Linked DNA regions of Arabidopsis thaliana. The protein of the gene in region 2 interacts with the protein of the main gene of each other region in a pairwise test. Each region holds a gene or a part of one and is shown on either strand. Other genes may lie near its edges.

Evidence for each region.
Region 1: the proteins of NIP7;1 (region 2) and CNGC10 interact in a protein complementation assay, tested with the Arabidopsis thaliana proteins (one large-scale study listed by BioGRID).
Region 3: the proteins of NIP7;1 (region 2) and AT2G26730 interact in a protein complementation assay, tested with the Arabidopsis thaliana proteins (one large-scale study listed by BioGRID).
Region 4: the proteins of NIP7;1 (region 2) and AT1G19450 interact in a protein complementation assay, tested with the Arabidopsis thaliana proteins (one large-scale study listed by BioGRID).

The regions. Positions count from the first base shown.
Region 1 is NC_003070.9:131,725-137,577, reverse strand, and holds CNGC10 (cyclic nucleotide gated channel 10), read left to right. Parts: upstream 1-1,653; 5' UTR 1,654-1,870; intron 1,871-2,255; exon of another isoform or gene 2,256-2,308; 5' UTR 2,309-2,361; coding exon 2,362-2,390; exon of another isoform or gene 2,391-2,459; coding exon of another isoform or gene 2,460-2,473; coding exon 2,474-2,996; intron 2,997-3,076; coding exon 3,077-3,289; intron 3,290-3,371; coding exon 3,372-3,667; intron 3,668-3,825; coding exon 3,826-3,937; intron 3,938-4,038; coding exon 4,039-4,275; intron 4,276-4,359; coding exon 4,360-4,754; intron 4,755-4,833; coding exon 4,834-5,164; 3' UTR 5,165-5,308; downstream 5,309-5,853. Other genes in the region: AT1G01350 (Zinc finger (CCCH-type/C3HC4-type RING finger) family protein), read right to left, coding at 1-643, 762-846. UniProt on the Arabidopsis thaliana protein: Probable cyclic nucleotide-gated ion channel.
Region 2 is NC_003074.8:1,840,655-1,844,950, reverse strand, and holds NIP7;1 (NOD26-like intrinsic protein 7;1), read left to right. Parts: upstream 1-1,754; 5' UTR 1,755-2,016; coding exon 2,017-2,157; intron 2,158-2,239; exon of another isoform or gene 2,240-2,333; coding exon 2,334-2,558; intron 2,559-2,655; exon of another isoform or gene 2,656-2,671; coding exon of another isoform or gene 2,672-2,794; coding exon 2,795-2,992; intron 2,993-3,199; coding exon 3,200-3,261; intron 3,262-3,361; coding exon 3,362-3,563; 3' UTR 3,564-3,783; downstream 3,784-4,296. Other genes in the region: MKP2 (MAPK phosphatase 2), read right to left, coding at 374-530, 894-1,014, 1,098-1,233, 1,345-1,434; AT3G06090 (uncharacterized protein), read right to left, coding at 3,939-4,178. UniProt on the Arabidopsis thaliana protein: Aquaporins facilitate the transport of water and small neutral solutes across cell membranes.
Region 3 is NC_003071.7:11,386,438-11,392,214, reverse strand, and holds AT2G26730 (Leucine-rich repeat protein kinase family protein), read right to left. Parts: upstream 3,918-5,777; 5' UTR 3,595-3,917; coding exon 2,286-3,594; intron 1,597-2,285; coding exon 929-1,596; 3' UTR 533-928; downstream 1-532.
Region 4 is NC_003070.9:6,730,907-6,736,793, forward strand, and holds AT1G19450 (Major facilitator superfamily protein), read right to left. Parts: upstream 4,119-5,887; 5' UTR 3,728-4,118; coding exon 3,530-3,727; intron 3,408-3,529; coding exon 3,345-3,407; intron 3,234-3,344; coding exon 3,144-3,233; intron 3,029-3,143; coding exon 2,969-3,028; intron 2,881-2,968; coding exon 2,815-2,880; intron 2,726-2,814; coding exon 2,660-2,725; intron 2,565-2,659; coding exon 2,489-2,564; intron 2,381-2,488; coding exon 2,316-2,380; intron 2,231-2,315; coding exon 2,138-2,230; intron 2,062-2,137; coding exon 1,981-2,061; intron 1,899-1,980; coding exon 1,814-1,898; intron 1,716-1,813; coding exon 1,669-1,715; intron 1,604-1,668; coding exon 1,541-1,603; intron 1,447-1,540; coding exon 1,387-1,446; intron 1,297-1,386; coding exon 1,231-1,296; intron 1,135-1,230; coding exon 1,075-1,134; intron 993-1,074; coding exon 765-992; 3' UTR 505-764; downstream 1-504.

The DNA.
Region 1 (5,853 bases), on a different chromosome or scaffold from region 2:
GCTTCTTCCCACTCTTTCTCTATCTGCCATCCTGGTTTGTAATCCCCACGGTCATGCAAGAACTTACACGAATCTCCATATCCACAGTATCCGGTTTCTTTGTAATCCTTGCAAATGTCTGGCTGGTAATCGAATCTAGCCGACACTCTTATGTGAGCAGAAGCTCTTAATGGCCCGTGTGAGCCTCCAGCTTTCTCGCTCGAGATTGTTTGTTCTCTTCTAAACCCAGCTTTGTGATCTGTATATCCATGAATTCCTTTGTACAGCTTCTCATCAGAAGCCTTTTTCTTATTCCCTTTCAATGCTTCGTCTGCTTTTTTAAGAACTCTCTCACGGATAGCTCGTGCGTCTTGATTGAAGTCGGTCTCAGTTTCAAGGGTTGCTGTTGCTCCACTGTCGTTCTGAACCTGGATTTCCTTGGATGAATCGTAGTGAAAGACGGACCTCTCAGGAGCTCCACTCGTTGTAGTAGAACTCTTAGATGGTCCAGAAGAAAAGTATAACTTGCTATCGGGTTTTGCAACTTTCTTTAGATTTTGTAGAATAGAGCTTTCGCTTTTCGAATCTCCGTCTTCTTCATCAGCGTCAATGGTTCTTTTTCTTATGTTTTTACTTTTCGTTGGCTTCTTGAAGAAAGTGCAAACTGAAACAGAAGAATGATTTGATTAGTGTAAATGAAAATTTCTAGCTAACAACGAAGAACAAGAAAAAATCTCAATGAGACGACAACTAGAATTGAGATAGAAGGAAGTATATGTAACCTTGTTGAGACTGAGTTTCTTGGGCAGCAGGTTGAGGTAGAGGTTCTTCTTGCTGAGAAGGTTTAGGCTCACCAGAATCTGACATAGTTAGATATAAGACTATGTAACAAACACAAATCACCCACTTGTAATTTGCTGCTTAGTGTTTCCCTGCAAAATTCAAGATTAGTATTAAGTCAATTTCCTGAAAACTTGTAAATTTGTTTGCACTGAGTCAAACAACAATTTTATCAAAATTTCTCCAGATTCAGTTACAATAATAGACAATGCAACATAAAAATGATCACCTGAATTCTTCCTAATTCATCTACGCGAGCTCACGAATAAACCCTAGCTAACTATCTATATCGGTGGCAATTTCATTCACAGTAGATAAGGAAGCAGAAATAGAAGCTCCAGACAGATCAATCCGAAACACAGTTCGACAACTCGATGTGTCAACGGAAGCTACAAAATTTGGAATCTAAAAACCCTTTGAATTGATTGAAATTGGAGACAAAAGCTCGAACAACACTAAAGACTAAACAAGAACGAAAAGTAGATCAAAAGTATGGAGATTAAACACAAGGAAGAATATGTTACCTTAAAAAAAAATCTAAAAATCGACGCCGGTGAGCTACACCGTCAAAAAGAACGACGACGCCGTCCGTATTTTCCGACAGAAAATAAATCAGTGTGAAGAGAAAAGAAATAAGGAACATATGGTGGGGCGGTTACTTCATTTTGGGTCATGAATCTAAATGGGCTCAATATTCATAATGGGCCCGGTACTTAAAATTTGGCAACTTGCTTATTCTCGCCGTCTGACTTTGACCAAGTCATTCATCTGAATGAAATTGTTTTATGAAATGATTTTCAATTGAACAGACTTTATAATATTTAATTGCATAATATTCCTCTTTCCCTCCCTTTTTGTCGTATAATAAAATTCTCATATACTACTTTTCCAGGAAACAATATACAGAGAGAGATACAAGTAACCGCCATATGAGTCTCTCTCTCTTTCCAGCGACGACGGGACCAGTTGCTTGAATTGAAGAAAACGCCGTTCACCGACTTCCGTTTATTAGCCGAATCTTACTATCTCGCCGTTACCTACTTCGTTTCAGGTTAGTTTGATGATAGAATTTTGATTCCGATTTCCGTTTTTGTTCTTTTTCGTCTGAATTTATTTTGCTGTTTCTCAGAACCGAAACGCTTAGATATATGTCTTTCGTTTATGGTCAATGGTTTTTTGAAATTTGGATTTCTTATCTTTGATGAACAGTGTTTTTAAGTTGTTCGTGTGGTTTCCATTTATTGAGCAGGAATGGGTAGGAATTACAGGATTTGGTATAATCTAATGTTAGGTGGAAATTGACTGATTCTAGGTTCTCTAATTAACCTTTTCAAGAAAGAAATATTTAAAAACACATACACACAACACAATTGTATTTGTAGTTAGGTGTCTACTTGCTTATTTTTAATTGGTATTGGGGATTATCATTGTACGTAATCATGTAGAAGAATTCGTATGTCTTAAGTTTTGGTTCTTATTATAATGTTAGGACTCGTCACCCTGTAAGCGAAAGATCAGTTGAAATATACAAGGGTTTGGCTGATGGCATTTAGCCATGATAATCGTGTAAGGTTGGTAGTTACAGAAAATCTTGAAAACAGTTCATAGTTGAATGATTTTTTCTACTATCTCATTTTCTTATGATTTTGTTTAGGTTCAAAGATGAAGGCAAACCATTATCCTCTGAATATGGTTATGGAAGAAAAGCTAGACCTTCTTTAGATAGAGTTTTCAAGAATGTAAAATGGGGATTCAAGAAGCCATTGAGTTTCCCTTCACATAAGGATCCTGACCACAAGGAAACATCTAGTGTTACTCGGAAGAACATCATAAACCCGCAGGATTCGTTTCTCCAGAACTGGAACAAAATATTTTTATTTGCTTGTGTGGTTGCTTTGGCGATTGATCCATTGTTTTTCTACATTCCCATTGTCGATAGCGCAAGGCACTGTCTTACTTTGGACTCAAAGTTGGAGATAGCTGCGAGTTTGCTTCGTACGCTCATCGATGCCTTTTACATTATTCACATTGTGTTTCAGTTCAGGACAGCTTACATCGCTCCTTCTTCGCGGGTTTTTGGAAGAGGTGAACTGGTAGATGATGCTAAGGCAATAGCCTTAAAGTATCTCTCTTCTTACTTCATCATTGATCTACTCTCTATCCTTCCTCTCCCACAGGTAAATGACTAGTTTGATTACTTGTTCAAAATGTCAATGATCATTTCTTTTTGAATCCTCTGGCTTCTTAACTTTTGCAGATAGTAGTTTTAGCCGTTATTCCAAGCGTCAACCAGCCAGTCTCTTTGCTAACAAAAGACTACCTTAAATTTTCCATAATTGCTCAATATGTTCCTCGGATTCTCCGTATGTATCCGCTTTACACTGAAGTGACAAGAACATCTGGCATTGTTACTGAAACAGCATGGGCTGGAGCTGCTTGGAACCTCTCTCTCTATATGTTAGCCAGTCATGTGAGTTTCGGATCTTTTGATGACTGAATCTTTATACATGTAAATGCATATTAAAGGTTATATGTTAAACTTACTTATTCAGGTGTTTGGAGCTTTATGGTACTTAATCTCAGTAGAACGAGAAGACAGATGCTGGCAAGAGGCATGCGAGAAGACAAAAGGTTGTAATATGAAATTCCTCTACTGTGAAAACGATCGTAACGTTAGCAACAATTTCCTGACCACTTCTTGCCCATTTCTCGACCCTGGTGATATAACAAACTCAACCATCTTCAACTTTGGCATCTTCACTGATGCTCTTAAGAGTGGCGTTGTTGAATCACATGATTTCTGGAAGAAATTCTTCTACTGCTTCTGGTGGGGTCTTCGAAATCTGAGGTTTGTAAGACACACATAAAACTGTTGACAATAACTAACTAGCTATATTTGGAGATTTTAAGCCGTGAAATGACCTGTTTATATTTGCATCTTAAGCATATATATCTGTCACAATTTAAACAAGTCATCATTCTCACAAGTTGCTTTTGTTGTTGCAGTGCATTGGGACAGAATCTCCAAACTAGCAAATTCGTTGGTGAAATCATATTTGCTATATCAATCTGCATATCTGGACTAGTCTTATTTGCTCTACTTATCGGCAATATGCAGGTATTAGCCTCAAATAATCGCTTCTCATTTTCTGGACTTGTTCCATAATGCTACATATAAGTTACTCAGGACACGCATGTAATTTTTGTTTGCTGTTGCAGAAATATTTGGAGTCAACAACAGTTCGAGAAGAGGAAATGAGGGTGAGAAAGAGAGATGCAGAGCAGTGGATGTCTCATAGAATGTTACCTGAAGACCTGAGGAAACGTATCAGAAGATATGAACAATATAGATGGCAAGAGACAAGAGGAGTTGAAGAAGAAACCCTTCTTCGTAACCTCCCTAAAGACCTCAGAAGAGATATTAAACGCCATCTTTGCCTCGATCTCCTCAAGAAAGTGAGTAACAAGCTTTCTCTCTTTTTCTTCCATAAACTGAACTAAAGAACCCTCAGAATCCAAATTATATGATGTTTATGGTAGGTACCTTTGTTTGAGATAATGGATGAGCAGTTACTTGACGCGGTTTGCGATAGGCTAAGACCTGTGCTCTACACCGAGAACAGTTACGTGATCCGTGAAGGAGATCCTGTTGGGGAAATGTTGTTTGTTATGAGAGGAAGACTGGTAAGTGCCACCACTAATGGAGGAAGAAGTGGGTTCTTCAATGCCGTGAACCTAAAGGCAAGTGATTTCTGCGGAGAAGATCTTCTCCCGTGGGCATTAGATCCTCAATCTTCTTCTCACTTTCCCATCTCGACAAGAACAGTTCAAGCTCTCACTGAAGTCGAAGCCTTTGCTCTCACAGCTGAGGATCTCAAGTCTGTCGCTTCACAATTCAGACGCCTCCATAGCAAGCAACTCCAACATACTTTTCGGTTCGGTCACTCCCATCAGCTTCTTTGGCTCTGTTTTCGGTTTTGGATCTTCTTAACCGGATCTTGATTATATATACAGGTTTTACTCAGTGCAATGGAGAACATGGAGCGTGTCTTTTATACAAGCAGCGTGGAGGAGATACTGTCGGAGGAAGTTAGCCAAGTCACTACGCGATGAAGAAGATCGTCTCCGAGAAGCGCTCGCTAGTCAAGATAAAGAACACAATGCTGCAACCGTGTCGTCGTCCTTGAGCCTTGGAGGCGCTCTTTACGCGTCGCGTTTCGCATCAAACGCGCTTCACAATCTGAGGCACAATATCTCCAACCTTCCTCCTCGCTACACTCTTCCTTTGCTACCTCAAAAACCCACCGAGCCTGACTTCACCGCCAATCATACAACTGACCCTTAGATCTCTCTTGCATGTGTATAGTGTGTGGAATAAAGTGTAAAAACAATGGTTTGAACTTTGAACCAATAAAATGTAAAAAATTGTTTATCAACTAACAGAAATTGAAATAATGGCTGGCTCTTATGCGCCGCTTAACTTTGGCTACTTCAGTTCAGCATCACACATGGAGGTATAGTTAGAGACTCGATCTGATGATCAATGCATTGAGGAAAGTGGGAAAAGCATATTTAGCTTTCAAGCTAATGCATAGCAAAACTGGGGTTGGTTATGAGAGAATGGCTAGTGTTAGAAGGTCTGTCAGGTTTAGGACTTTACTTAAACTTGTTTTGACTCCCGAGTTTAAAGAAACTTTTTTGCGTTTATGTCTTTTCTTGAAGAAGGAAACAATCGAAAGTTTCCTTTTTATTTTGGAAGAACCTAATAATGAAAACCTGAGGGAGAATGCTAATCTCCAACAACATCTCACTCATTCTCTCTTCTTCCTTGAGAAATCAAAGCAAACCAACCAATGTTTCCTTTTGGTTTTGTTCGGTATAATATCAACGTCTCTTTCGTATGTCGGTTTTCAGTGTTTCCTTTTTTTAAGTCCCGCTCCTGTATAAAGCAGACCAACATATTGAGCTTGCGTTTATATATACTACAAGTAACCCTAGAGTACTTTCATCTCTTTTTTATCAACAACCACCTGA
Region 2 (4,296 bases):
AAACAAGAAAAAAAAAAAAAAAAACTCACGTTCGATCAAGATATCGGTTAACATTCAATGCAAGGGTCGAAAACCAAACCAACCAATTTTCAGTCTGGTTTGGGTATGGGATTGGTTTGGTTAAATTCACACTGATCCTCCTAGAAAATATATTCATTGTAGTAACAGAGGAAATGTAAATTCTGCGTTTTCATTCATTTCAATTGGCTAATGGACATGGCAAAGTGCTCACCATCAATAGTTCACAAGAAAAAATCCTTCACAGCACGAAACCAATCAACTTTTTTGGCCAACATGGGGCTGAAGACACTTGCCGGAATTTCATGAGAGTTCATCATGCCACTATCTTGAATCTTCTTATCAGCTGAAGCAATCATGCATTACCTTGGATGGATTTTTCAAATTGCTGGAGCTGCGAAATGAAACCGGGATTAGGATATGCCTGATGTCGTCGGCTCCTTACAAGTTCCATAGCTTTAGAGAATCCCATTCCATGCTTTTTCATCAGGTAAGCCACCACTATAGTCACACTTCAAAGAAAAACTCAAACCAATCAAATTGTGTAAGTATATATATAACAGAACGACACAATAAGCAAATTACAGGTTCAAGAAAAACTCTTAATTTGTCCACAACAAAATGTAATCTGTTCACTACCATAACTCCTACTAATACCAGAATCAGCAAGCTATAAAAGAATCAAAGCAAACTACAAGATTCATATACACTTTTGCCAATCTGAGTCTCTGTAGTTTCCTATGGTTACTCAGTTGGCAATTTATATACACTTTTTTGATATGGTTACATAATTTGCAATTGGTTCACATTGATGATTCTTAAACACTAAATCTAATAACTGAATGTATGAGATTTAAGGGCAAAAGAATCAAAACCTCCTAGACATTCCCATGAAGCAATGAACCAAAACACCACCACCAGATTGAATAGCTTGGTCGATGAAGCTATAACACTCATCGAAATATACTGTCAAATCGGTCTCGGATCTATCAACCACTACACGATGAAGAACAAGTTTATAAAATCTCTAAACGAAAAATTTCAAAAACAGGCTAAGGATTGAAGAAAAAAAACCCAACCTTCAATGACTTTGTAGACAAAATCATCAGGATAAGGAGGAGCCAAGGCCACAGCAACGGTTAAGACATGAGTGATATTAGAGCTTTTGAGAAAATCCTTGTTATTCGCTTCAGCTACTGATCCTATGAACAATCCCTGAGAATAAACTCATCCAACAAACGATTTTTCGGAATTAAAGACTCCAAAACCTGAGAAATTCCAAGTGTGAAATTAGACGGATAGATAGAGAAGAGAAACGAAGAAAACCTGTTGGATCTCGCTGAGATCTTTGCCTCCTTCGAGTAGCTTCTGGGAATTAGCTTCTCCGACTCCGAAGAGATCAACCACTTTCTCCATCGCTCTCTGCTTCTTTTTTCAAAATTCCACTTGTACAGACGAAAACTCTTAATCAGAAAGATAAATAACCCTAGATTCGTAATTAATATTTAATAGTTTAGTTCGGATAGATGAATCAATAAGCACCAGTGGTCTAGTGGTAGAATAGAACCCTGCCACGGTACAGACCCGGGTTCGATTCCCGGCTGGTGCAACAATTTGTTTGTTTTTTTAAGTGAAAAGATTTAAGAGAGTCAACCTTTTTACACATGAAATGAAGATGATTAAAATAAATAGATGACTTAGAAATCACCAAATTAACATTAAGAAATATTGGTAGGTAGGAAGTGAAAATTGAACACAAGAAAAGTGTTGAGCACCCTCTTCTCCTTTCAGACTGCTTAACCAAAGGAATATAGCAGCACTCTACTAATTCTTCTTTTTGTTGAAATAAAATAATTACTCTTTAATTTCCATCTTCTTTGCGTTTTTCTCTCTATCTCTCTTTTTTTGTTCCATTAGATCATTCATAAAGCGGATCAAGCCACCTTGATTGTGACTTTCCTCAGTTCTTGATCACTATATCTTGAAGGAATTAAGAAGATGAATGGTGAGGCACGGTCAAGAGTAGTCGACCAAGAAGCTGGCTCAACTCCATCTACTTTGAGAGATGAAGATCATCCCTCGAGACAAAGGCTTTTCGGATGTCTCCCTTATGATATAGATCTCAATCCCCTACGCATTGTAAGCTTCATATATACACAAAATCATAGAATCAACAAGATTAATATCTCACAATACTTTTGTGTTAAACTAAAGAATTGGCTATGTCCATAATTACAAATAATTTTTTTGAAAATATTAAAATGTTTGTATAGAAATAAAATGCTAATTAATAGTATCTCCGGACTAATGTTTAGGTAATGGCGGAATTGGTGGGGACATTCATTCTAATGTTCAGTGTGTGTGGGGTCATAAGCAGTACCCAATTATCCGGCGGCCACGTGGGATTGCTAGAGTACGCCGTCACCGCTGGATTATCTGTGGTGGTCGTAGTTTACTCCATCGGACACATCTCTGGCGCCCATCTTAACCCTTCCATCACCATTGCTTTCGCTGTCTTTGGCGGATTCCCGTGGTCTCAGGTATAATGCATCCATCTCAACACGGCGTTTGACCAACTAAGAATTGTAGTTGAATTATCTTGGTCTTGATCGTTTGTTTTTGTTTATCTTAGCGTTTAGACCAAGATCAAATAATGTGTTTTTTTCATTTATCAACGAAGATGAGACGAGAAAACTTAATCTTTTGTTTGGACGTTTACAAATTATTTTTTATGAAAACTGAAAATTCTTTTTTGGAATGTTGTGTCACATGCCAGGTTCCGTTGTATATAACGGCGCAAACATTGGGGGCAACGGCGGCAACATTAGTTGGGGTGTCAGTGTACGGAGTAAACGCTGACATTATGGCAACAAAACCTGCTTTAAGCTGCGTTTCTGCATTTTTCGTTGAACTCATAGCTACGAGCATCGTCGTGTTTCTCGCCTCCGCGTTGCATTGTGGTCCTCATCAAAATGTAAGTGACCAAATCGATCTTCGTTACTCCTCTAGTCCGCTTGTTATAAAAAAATATCTTCTAATAAGAATAACACCTAAAATGTGACATTTACATGCTATTTCTTAATTATGAAATTTTATTTCTTTCCAAAGAGAAAATAAAAAAAATCAAACTCTCTGATTAGAAAACTTATATGCATTTAATTTTATATGTTATTTTGTGCAGTTGGGTAATTTGACGGGGTTCGTGATTGGAACAGTCATTTCCCTTGGAGTGCTTATTACCGGGTACTTAACTTAAAACTCCATTATCACCGTAAAGTATTGGAAAATAGTTATTTCATGTGATCGTATAATGCTAACGTTTTGTGGAATATGGTATGGTTAGACCGATTTCAGGAGGATCGATGAACCCAGCTCGATCACTTGGACCGGCGGTGGTGGCATGGGATTTTGAAGACTTATGGATTTACATGACAGCTCCGGTGATCGGAGCCATAATCGGAGTTTTGACATACAGATCAATTAGCCTAAAAACCAGGCCTTGCCCTTCTCCAGTTTCCCCTTCCGTTTCTTCACTTTTACGTTAATCACTTCAAAACCTAATATCTATTATACAAATAAACACTTTTGATTTTTTTTCTTGGTTAAGGTTTTTAAGTTTTTGTCATTACGTCATTAGATGCCGTGATGCGAAAACAGAGAGCTACTTATCGGATTGAAGATATAGAGGGTAAAGCAAATGAAAACAGGGGGCATTTTGTTCTTTTTACACAATGAAATGAACGCAATTAAAAATCTTTAGTCACATATATTTTATAGTGAAGCGAAATTCGTATGAATATTCAAATCCTTTCATTAGGTTATAAGAACCCACTAAAATACTCATATTACTAAACGATACCAACAAACATAAATTAGAGAAATGAAATTAAATATCTTAAATTATTACCCCAACTAAAAATTTAGTGGCCACAACCTCTACGACTTGGACCAGAAGCTAACTTTCGACCTGACCACAAATTCGCCTTCTTCTTCTTCTCCTCGTAGTTTCCAAACTCATTTCTTGAATCTTCTCCGACTACATTCATTCTCGTTGCCTTCTCTGCAACCCTGTTACAACCATGGTAACTAGCCATGGCAATGGAACAAGTTAAGTAAGCGACCAAGAGAAACACAACTTTAAGAAGCTTCTTCATCTTCATGTTCTTAGTGTCGACTACTACTTAAACTATAGATTCTCAACATTGATTCGTATTCGTGTATATATGCATGTTTATAGATTTTTGGTCTTTTGTTCTATGAGAGCTAATGCATAATTAG
Region 3 (5,777 bases), on a different chromosome or scaffold from region 2:
AATAGAATTCACTATACTAAAATTCAATTAATTTGTAAATTTGTTATATTTTGGTTACATTTTACTAGTTATATGTGTGCGTTTTTTTGGAAGCATTTGTTACGAAATCTTTGAGCATTTTTGTGATATTTTTTGCATCTTTATTTAATAATCCAAATGCAGACCACCAACTAAATATGAAAGTTTTATAATTATTAACAGCTTAATGTTTGAAATAATCATATTCATAATGACTTACTAGCAAGCTTTCAAAAGTGGAAACTGTTTTTGGCTTTGGTCTTGTATCTAATTGCAAATGTAAAAAACTCACTTTCAATTGGAAAATATTGTATGATGAAAAGTAGCAAATCTAATCTAATGACTCATATGACTGATTAGTCGCTTGATATGTTCAAATAAGACGACCCGGATCTCTTTCTTTCTATTTCTACTACTATATGACACATATATATACTTCCTACATGCAAGTTATTATTTTTAAATCATTTTACGTCGATAATAATGTAAACTAATAAAGTAACATCTGTTTTAGTTTTTGGTAAAAAAAAAAAGATCATCTATTCAAACAGCTGAAGAATTAGTGACTATGCATAAAACCCAAAAGAGTGAGTTTCTTGGAAGTGTTTTAGACTGAATTTTGATTTAAACCTGTAAATTGTAAACACCAAATACAAATAAAAGAAAAAATAATAACCACTAGAATATCTCGAAGACTGAAAAAAAAATAGATGGGAGATGCCATCTTGTAGAAGTTGGTCCAAATGCAGAGATGGTCCAGTCTTTTTTGCTTTACCTTCACACCTAACAAAGACCTCACACACTTATCTCATCCCTTTCTTTATCTCCTTTTGAGGAGAAAAAAAAAAAGGTGAACACAAACAAGAAAAACTTTAAAGCTGCTTTCTTCTTAATCAATTCCATTCATTTGCTAAGGTGTGACTGATCGTGGTGGCGTCCTTGATTCTCCTGGAGGAGTCTGACCTTCTGATCCCTTTGACGGGTCATCAGACGATTGTCTTAACCCGTCATCGGTTGTCTCACTTCTGTTGACATCTTCGATCATTCTTAGTACTTCTTGCATTACTGGTCGTTGATCAGGAACCGTTGATACACAAGCCATTGCGATTTGAAGAAGCTGAACCATCTCTTCCTCTATGTTGTGGTACCTCATCAGCTCAACGTCAAATACTTCAGCAGTCCATTCTTCTCGAACCACGGAGAGTACCCACCGAGGTAGATCAATACCTTCTTCCCCAAGTGATGCCTGGTTTGGTGATTTTCCTGTTAACAGTTCAAGAAGCAACACCCCGAAACTGTACACATCCGATTTAAAAGTTACTTTCCGTGTCTCGAGAACTTCAGGAGCATGATAACCCGCCAAACGGTTTGGTGGACTCGAGTTACTGAACAGTTGATTCAGTCCATAATCAGAGACGCAAGTGTCTTGGTTTGGGTGTAGGAGGATGTTTGAAGCTTTAATGTTTCCATGTACCAATTTGGCTGAAACGTGAAGATGCGCCAAACCTCTCGCTGCAGTTATCGCTATTCTCATACGGTTATCCCAATCTAACGGAGTTCGCCCTGATCCACGGCTCCCTAAAACAAACACAAACCTATTAGCCAGATATTGCAAGTTAACTTCAAAATGTAAACACAGTTTCAAAAGACCAAAATGTTCATAGTACTAGCTTAACATTATAATTCCCATCATAACTTAGGTTAAAGCTTTAAATTGTAAATACATTTTCAGTAAATTAAAATATTCATATTCTAAAGGTTCTTTAGTTCCATCACTCATTTAGACAAAAGTTTACTTCAAGGAAAAGAGTTTAAGATATGATGATGAGAAAAGCCCATGTGGAAGAGTCTTTTTCTTTTCCTTTATTCCAATCTTTAAAGAGTGAGAGAGAAGCAAAATTATGAAATAAATTATTATGACACTAACCAGACAGACACATAACAATGTCGGCAACACACTTTTCTCTTTTAATAATTGCATAACAACTCCAGCTATAACTACCACAATTCAACAAAAATAAAATATCTAAAGAATGTGATGCAGTCTAATAAGAATGTTTTTCTTGCCAGCAAAGCAAAATCACACAAGTATCCATTAGAAAAATATTATCAAATCATCACTCCCTAATCTCACTAAGGTTCCAAATCTTAACCATAACCATAACCATAAGAACTCAAAACCTAACCAAGATTCTACACAATGTATCTAACTAATAGTGTAGTAACAATGAAATTGAGCAAAATTGAGTAAGATAATAGATGCTAACCGTGGAGAAGAGCAGATAAGCTTCCGGTAGGCATGAAATCGAAAACGAGAAGTTTCTCATCTTTAGAGTAGTAATAAGCTCTTAATGGAATAACATTTGGATGTTTGATTTTACCAACAACTTCCATTTGTGTTTCGAACTCTTTCTTAGACGCCATTACATCTTTAAGCCGCTTAACAACAACCGTGGTACCTTCCTCTAACACCGCCTTATACGATGTTCCAACACTTCCTTTACCTAAAACCTCAGCAGAAGCTCTAAGCAAATCTTCCAAATCAAAACTATACACTCCTCCTTCAGTGAAAACAAGCTTATTCCTCTCTGTTTCACCTCCCATACCCGATGATGTCCCCGTTACTTCCTCTTTCGAGGACGAAGCACCCGGTGGAAGATCCACATTCCTTGTAGCTACTCCCGCCGGTTTCGGCTGCTTCGTCCTCGCCTCATTACTTCCTCTTCTTTTTCTTAAACACAAGAACAAAAGCAGAGCTAGCAAAAGAAGCGCAACGAGCGCGCTAGCGACGATTATCGCGACAATCGCAGCTTTCGAAAGCTTTGATTTCTTGCTGGATAAACGATTAGAAGGATTAATCAACGACGGAGACGGCGAGGGAGACACAAAAAACGATTTACAAGGCTTTAACGGACCACCACAGAGATCTACATTTCCAGTAAACGATTCAGCTGAGAATCTTGATAATGAAGACGGAATCGAACCGTTTAGATTGTTGTTAGAGACATTGAAATCGACTAAACCGAGACTAATACTAGGAAGATTCCCTGAGAAACCATTGTTACCGAGAAACAAACCAGTCAAGTGAGTGAGATTATTGACTGAGAAAGGTATCGAACCAGTGAAGTTGTTAGATGAGATATCAAGACGAATCAAGTTGTTTAACTGAGTAAAACTCGTCGGAAACTCGCCGGAGAATTCGTTGTGTTGAAGATATAAGCTTCGCAGATGAGTAAGATTTGAGAAATCTGAAGGGATCTGACCAGAGAGACGATTAGAACGAAGACTGAGAACTCGGAGCTCAGTGAGTCGACCTAAGGAGCCTGATGGGATCTGACCGACTAAACCGGTTCCTGGTAACCGGAGAGAGTGGATTGAAGATTGGTTTGAGTTGCATTCGACTCCGACCCAGTTACAAGCTGAGTCTGACTCGTTCCATTGAAGACGATTCTCGTGAGGTATTTGTTGAAGGAAAGTGAGGAGTGCTTGTTTTTCTGCGGTTGATTCCGAGTTGACTCGCTGAGTCAGTAGCAATATCGAGAATAGAGAATTCAAAACCCATGAAATTGACGCCATATTTGGGGGGGTTTTTTTTTTTGGAGAAAGAGAAAAAAAAAACGAAGCTTTTTTGCTTCTTTCTAGTTTTGTCTGTTTTATTACAAGAAGTGGGTTTGCTGAAAACCAGAAGTGGTTTTCCGACAAGAACCCATTTTTGGTTTTTCTGAACTTGGAGAGAGAAGTGTGTGTGTGTGAGTCAATGTGTGTGGAGGTGTGGGATCGTGAAGTCTTTAATGAAGGAGAAGGAGAACGAACGAATCAAATCTATCACGAGGGACAAATATGTTAAACCAAAATATTATTTTTCTTTTATTGGCTCAGACAAAAATATACTATTAAAAGTAAAGTTTCTTTCTTTTTTTCTTTTTTCCATGAAAAAAGCTATTAATATTTCTTTTTCCACATTAAAGCTATTAATACGTAGCTGGAAACAATTGAATTTTCATGCTTTGATGATATTTGTTGAATTTAAAGTTTGATTATTATCTTCGAAGAGACAGTACATTTGAATAGATATCCAAATTAATTTATTTTATTATTTAAATTGCTACTGAATTATGGCATTAGGATTTAAGTAATTGAAATTGACATAATAAAATCCAGCTGACGCAAAAAATAATTACATATGTTTAGCGTATTGATCTTTAATTACGATTACCTAAACCATTTAACCTCTTGGATAACTATAAGAAAATAAACATTTATGGTGTATTCTCCACATATTTGAACAAAATGCTATTTCCTAAACCTAAATCATCCACATTTGTTATATCATAATTTCCTATCTTTGTTTTTTTTACTTGCTCTCCACAATATTCTGAAATAACCTTAACCATAAACATAGATTAAATATCAATCTTTACAAGACTTTTAGAGACTCATCAAGCAAATATTTATCTGGTGGGCTTTGCAAACTTCCGCCCAATAAGGTGTTCAAAGCCCAGTTACAAAAGTTTTGACCCAAGCCTTATTCAGCAAATATTCAGGTCAGGCCTAAACTCTTCCCTACCCAATTTTAGACAATCGTTGTATTGTTTCATGAAACCAATTGAACAAATACATCAATTGGGACATAATGCACTATGTTTCTTGTTGGGTATAAGAATTTTTTGAGAACCATGCCATTAGTTACAACTAGGGATATGATTCATGATACCGAAAGTTTGACCAAACTAAATTACATACGATTTCTATATGAAGATGCAGAGTGAATCAATCAGCTGATGGTGATCAGATCGTTGATGGATTTCAGGACGCTGCATCAGGTTTCATCAGACGCTTGATGTGCAGACATGGATGCGAGAGCAAACGTGGCAAGCTAAGGCGAATGATGTGAAGAGCCAAGGATGGAAGTTAACTTGGAGAGGTGTCAAAGACAAGGTTCATCGAGAAAATATAGAAGATATTATATCGAAGAATAAAGAAAGGAATAGGCTTGGAAACAAGGAAGATTCCATATCAAGAGATTCTCGGAGATCCTAAGGTTAGGGTTCTGGGGAATTGATATAAATATTCTAGAGCAGAGGGTGAGCCGCTTTGAGCACTCTGGGATATTTTTCGATACTAAGTAAAAACTTCAAAGCCGTGCAAAAGCTTGAAGGTGAGTGTGTAGTTCTCTTCGTCTTCACGGGTTAGTGATAAAAAACAGAGAAGAGAATTAGAGCTTAGTTATTCTTAGTCGGGGTTGATCTTTTGGGTAGATTAGATCAAGTAAGAACTGAGATAATACTTGTAACAAAAGTTTATTATCAATAAGAATAAGTCTTTTAAACAGCTCTTTGTGTTGTGGTAGTCTCTATACCTTTTACTATATGGTTTCAGTTTTTGTAAAACCAAAAAACCATAAAATCTGAACCAACCCTAAACCAAAAAACAGTTTGCCTACCCGTAGGTTACTTATTATTATGATCTTTTACTTGTACAAGAAATTGTTGATCATAAACGTTTGTGAAATGGAGACTCTTTATGTCAACAATTAGCGAACAAAAAGATTGATTTTGAACACAGATATGAGATGTTTGTATTCTCATTCATAAATAAATTATGTTTGATGTTTTCAATTCATTTTGGTTGATTATTCTTCTTTTCTGTAGTGATGAAAGGTTACCTTTTACTTTGTGGGATCAATTACTACCGAGCATATTTTCAATGCCTCTGAACAAGCTAGTGATGAGATGGTTATTTGTTTGGCGAGATTTGCT
Region 4 (5,887 bases), on a different chromosome or scaffold from region 2:
TTTACTATTATTGAAGTTTGCTCCAATTAAATTACAGAAACCAAAACTTTCGTTTGTCCAACTTTGCCTTTCACTGACACTCACTCGTGTTGAATGGTGTGAATATGTGAATCCGTTACTTTGAGAATATAAACAAGGAACGGTAACTACAAAAACCATTTTCATGTTCTTGTAACGTATTATTTCGTTACTATCTGTAAATTGTCTAGATATTTTCCTAGTTTATTACTTTTGGAAGAAAATGACCTTAGTATTGTTTACTTGGTTCTGATTTCTTAATGAATGGTCAAATTGGACAGTGGGACATGCCAAGAATGTTATATAAAGAATGATTTTAAAATTGTTATTATATTGTTGTTTTCTTTTTCAAATCGACCGCCGTTTGCATTGGAAATAGTCCTTTCATGTTCGCCAAACAACAAAACTCCCAAAGCAGTTTCTATCACATGGTAGCTTTCCCATTTGGATCCAAAACACTAACATTTGCATTTCTGATTTTCTATACTTAATTCAAGATATTGTTGAATACACAAATATAGTGCTATTAATCTTGAGAATCCGAAAAATTACACACAAAAACAAAAAATCAAATTTAAAGGTATAATGATATGCTTGTACAAGATAAACAAATTATAATCAATGTCAAGAAGAAATACATTGAACAAAGCATGAAATACAGACACAGGGAAGGGACAAAAGAATGATCTGTAATGGAGAAAGCAAAAAGTGAAAATTTTGTCTTCTTCTTCCTCTTCTTGTTTTGATCATCTGAACAAAGCTTGGATCTCTTCAAGCGTTTTTCCTTTAGTCTCAGGAACCCAAAGACTCACAAAAACCACAGTGAATCCACAAACCAAAGCGTAGAGAGTGAAAGTTCCCCCACTGCTCCATGCTAACAGCATATTTGCAGTCATTGTCACTAACCATGACACGAACCAGTTTAACAAAGTTGCTATACTTCCGGCTAAACCCTTTATATTCACTGGCAGAATCTGTTTTACCAACATTAATCAGTATTAAAATTTCCAGTTGTGATTTTAACACTAAGGAACACCATGTTTTAATATTTAGTACCTCAGACATAATCAGCCATGGAATTGGTCCCATTCCTAGAGAGCAAGAAATAACCATAGCCTGTAAATAACTCAGCCAGATTTAGTACACATACCGGGAAATATGTAAATAAGAAAGTATCTTTCGTTGTGTGAATGTATAAAACAAACGACTTACCACAACTCCAACTACGGAAACCATGCTTAGAATGTTGTACATGTTGGAATCAGGTGATACAAATTCCTAACAAAAGATTAAGAAACCTCAATATCTCATAATTAGAGTGACACTCTTACATTGTACAAGTAGAGATGTCAAAAGTTAAAATGTTACCTTAAGGTAAAATGCAACTGCTACAATCACGAGGCTTATCGTCATTCCGATAGAAGAGATCTGCATTTCAGAAGAAAATGCTAATATTATGTTATGCATACATAAATTCTTCAGACTTTGTAAGATATACAGATGAATCTCAAATATTCTTCACCATGAGTAGAAGCCGACGACCTGCTTTATCCACCAACCATGTCGCTATCCCAGTCGCCACTACCTGGTATAGAATGAACAACGGTTAGAAAAATCGAATCTAATGTCTCCTAGATTGAAATGATATACCTGAACAACGCCAACTCCAAATGTCGCCACATTACTTGATGTCACCCCTTAGTGAATGATAATTGCAAACAAAGAAGCATAGTTAGAAATCTGTTTATTCTATCTTAGGACCATTCCAATAATCAAAAAAAACATATGACTCTACCTGCAGATTCAAAAATTGTACTCGAATAGAACAAGACACCATTGATTCCTCCAAGTTGTTGAAGTGCAAGCAGCCCTATACCAACCTGTAACACAGATTACAGGAAAAGAGTGAGTTTCTCTCATGTGTTGACAAAATTAGTTCAAGAGAGGTAAGAGAAATTGCACCATCAGTGGGAAATAGTATCTCCTGCGCTTGAGGTCTACAAACCGAACTGCAGAACGTTTGCTAGATGATGCCACAGATCTCTGCAGAGTGCATAAAATGAAAATTTTAAATAAGACAAGAAATCACATCAAAGCATTTCTTCAGTTTAGTCACTACCTTGATTTCATTAACCTCAACGGTAATATCAGTCTCAAATCCACGAAGAACTTGCAATGAAGTTTCGAAATCATCTGTCAAACCCATCTTTGCCTACAATTACAACACCAAAACAATTTAGGATAACCAATAATGCAACAAACTCAACAATATAAGCAATACGGTTGTAGAGGCATACCAACCACCGAGGAGATTCAGGAATGAAAAAAAGACCCGGTATCAACAATGTACATGGCAATACTCCTAAACATAAAGAAGACAAACAAGAAAGTGATTAGACTGTATCGATCAAAATAAAATAAAAACAGGTATAGTTTCTCCCAAGTCAAGTCAAAATGTTTTGTGAGTTACCCAAAACTGCAAGAATTCTCCATGGAACAAAGAGACCGAGTAAATACGCCAGCATTATCCCAATTGTTACAGAAAGCTATAAACACAAAACATTTATTGTTTAGTGTTAACATATGAATCAGCTCATAAAATGAAACATAAAAATAGTGAAGCTAACTAAACATGACAAACCTGGTTAACTGAACCTAAGGCTCCTCTCATGGTCTGTGGAGCGATCTCAGCTATATATACGGGAACCTAAAATCGCAATTCAAAGGTGTGTAATTATATTGATCACTCCAAACAAACATTGCTGAAATCAAAGAAATAGTTGAATCTAATATTACCGTATAGGAGATAATCCCAACTCCGAAGCCTTCTAACAATCTTCCCATGTAAAGAAAAGAAGTATCCTAAACAAAAACCAAGAACAACAACAACTTAGTAGGTATAGAGATAAGCCAAGAATATCAGAAACTTTGAGAACACCAAAACACTCACTTTTGCAAATGATATCGAAAGCCATCCAATAATATTGGGAATTGCAGCAATCATCAGAGACTGTCAAAAGGAAAGAAAAACACAGTAAATAAGATACAACAAGAAAGAAGATGTTACATGACAAATTGTCACAGATGAGAACATGTTTTAGAATCAAGAAACAAAACTATTATACCCCTTTCCGTCCAACGTATTCAGCAATCTGACCACTCGCAATTGCTCCAACCATAGCACCCACATTGGATAGAGACCCAAACACAGAGTACTAAAACATCAAACAAGAAACCTAAAAGTCAGAAAATTACAGAACAAGAGTCTTTACAAAAAAAAAAAAAAAAAACAGAACAGTTCTTAAATAAAGATGGGACCTTCATACCTCTGATACAGTTAAACCAAGATCCTTAGTAATGGCAGCTTGAGTTGGTGAGGAATAACCACACTGAAAACAAAAAGATAAATCAAAATCAACACTTTCTTAGTCAATTTGAGCAAAAGCAGAGAAATCCACATTGATAAAAAAAAATATAAGAAAGTTGAGATATTTGTTTATGTTGTTCTTACAGTGAATCCGAATTGAATAGGACCAAGAGCAACAATCAAAACACAAGCTAAGACAGAAATTGAGCTGTCTCGAATAACTTGAGACGATTCCAACATACTAGATTGTCTCGAACCCATCCGATACCAACTTCCTGTGTGTAAGAACGGTCGCCGAAGATCATTTCTTCCCTCTTCCGTATTATCATCCCTAAAACTCATCTTTTTGTTTTTCTTAAATCTACAAAACAATCGTAATCTACAGAGAGAAAAAAGCACGAATCTTTCGGAGGATAAAAATGTCGATCCTAAACTAGAAAATGCAGAAGAAGAAAAATACGAAATTTGAGGTAGGATTTGAGTTTTGGGTGAATTCAAAAAGATGTTAGACTTGTTTTGCTTAAGAATTCTTCATGGTTTGTAAAAATTGAGCCTTTGCGTGGAGAGACGCAGACTGTTTCATAGTTTTCCACCTCAGAACGCGTCGCCTAACATCGATTTATAGAATTCGTAAAGGGACCTGTTTTTTTTCTTCTCTGTCGACAAAAAAAAACTTAATTTAAAAACATTTTAATTTGTAATTAAATAAGATATCGTTCATTTTAAATTCTTTTATATCAAATTTAACTATTGTTTTTTTTTGTCTGATTGTCGTTTTCGAGTTATTTTTTGCGCAAAGATAATTTTTTGAATCATTGTCCCATGTTCGCTCACATATACAAGCATTTGTAGTCGCTTTGAATCATTTATTTTCTTCTACATACTTCTACATACTCATTAGTATTATAATGAGCTTTTACAATGTAACTAATTACGCAACAATACTATAAAATTGTGGTACAGGCTGAGACTAAACTATATTGTATTTTTAAGAAAATGTTTTTCTTTTTGTTTAGGTAAACTGTCTACTTCAAAGATATTTTTTGGTAGGAATAATAATTAAAACTTCCCATATTAGAATACGAGGCCACTAGACATTCCTTTTGACAACAAAAAGTGACAATGTCATTTTATATTTTAGCACTTATAATAATAGTTAGCATGCATTATAGAATTCATATTTAGATGTTGTCCTAACTCTTAACAAAATCAGAATAACAATATTGTGGGAGAAAATTTAGCTAAAACTTCAATTTAGGACAAATAATAAGATTATTAAAGTAACACTTAAATATGAATATAATGCTCGAATCCTCCTCTACTTTTTAGCATTTTCGCTACCTCGTTGATATTGATGTCGATAGGTCACAAATATGCAAGTGACATTATTTTATTAGATAAACTCGAATAATTATAGTTTTTGTTTTCTAGTATATGAAAAATATATGGATGTCATTAATTTCGAATACTTCAATAAATATAAATATTTATTCAGATACAACATTATTTATTTATTTTCAATATTTAAAATCTTTGAGAATACGACATGTTATTTCAATGTTTACCAATAACATCCTACTATATTATTTAGGAAATACATTTTAAATATAACTTTATTTTTTTGTAAGTAATTACATAGGTATGTCATTAGAAATAAGATTTTAAAGAGTAAATTAATTTATTTCTTTAAAAATTAAAAGTCAAATACTAATTTAATTAATTAAATTTAACTCAAAAACGAAATACATTATTAATTTCCAAAAAAGTAACCAATTAAAATCAACAAATTAGATTTGATATCTAAATTATCATATTAATTTTTTATTAATTATTATAGTTCACCTCTCATCTTTATATGATTCTATTTTTGCAAAAAAATAATATCATCGTTATAAAAAAATAATTAGAATTTTTTCGCATATGCCACAATTTGAATTTTTAAAAACGAATATAAACTGTTCAATACATGAAAAAATACTATAACGGGTCAAAAGTAGATTTAAGAAATTTTTTTACTGAGTACTGTGTCATAGTTTGAATATTTATATTCAATTTCATACATATTATTTTAAAATTTATAATCTTATATACTACAATAATTAATAACATATTAGATTTTTTAATGTGTATGATGTGATTCAATTTTTAATACAAGCTGAAAAATCCTACAATTGACGGGTTTAAATCAATATTAATACAAGATGATATACTATATGTGAAACTTTAAAATTAACAATCAAAATACAAGTATATAATTTTAAACACTAAACAATATAAATAATATCAACAAAACATATACAACTCGCAGTTTACTATACATTTAAAATCAAATAAAATAATATCATATATTTATAATCAACTTTACAATAAAAGTTTTTAGTTTAACTAAAATATAAGACTACCTGCTGTATAATGCAAGTTAAAATTATAAATAAGCCGATTACCATCACGATGGATGTACCATCTCACATACACACCTATCAAAAACTTAAAACCTTTCAA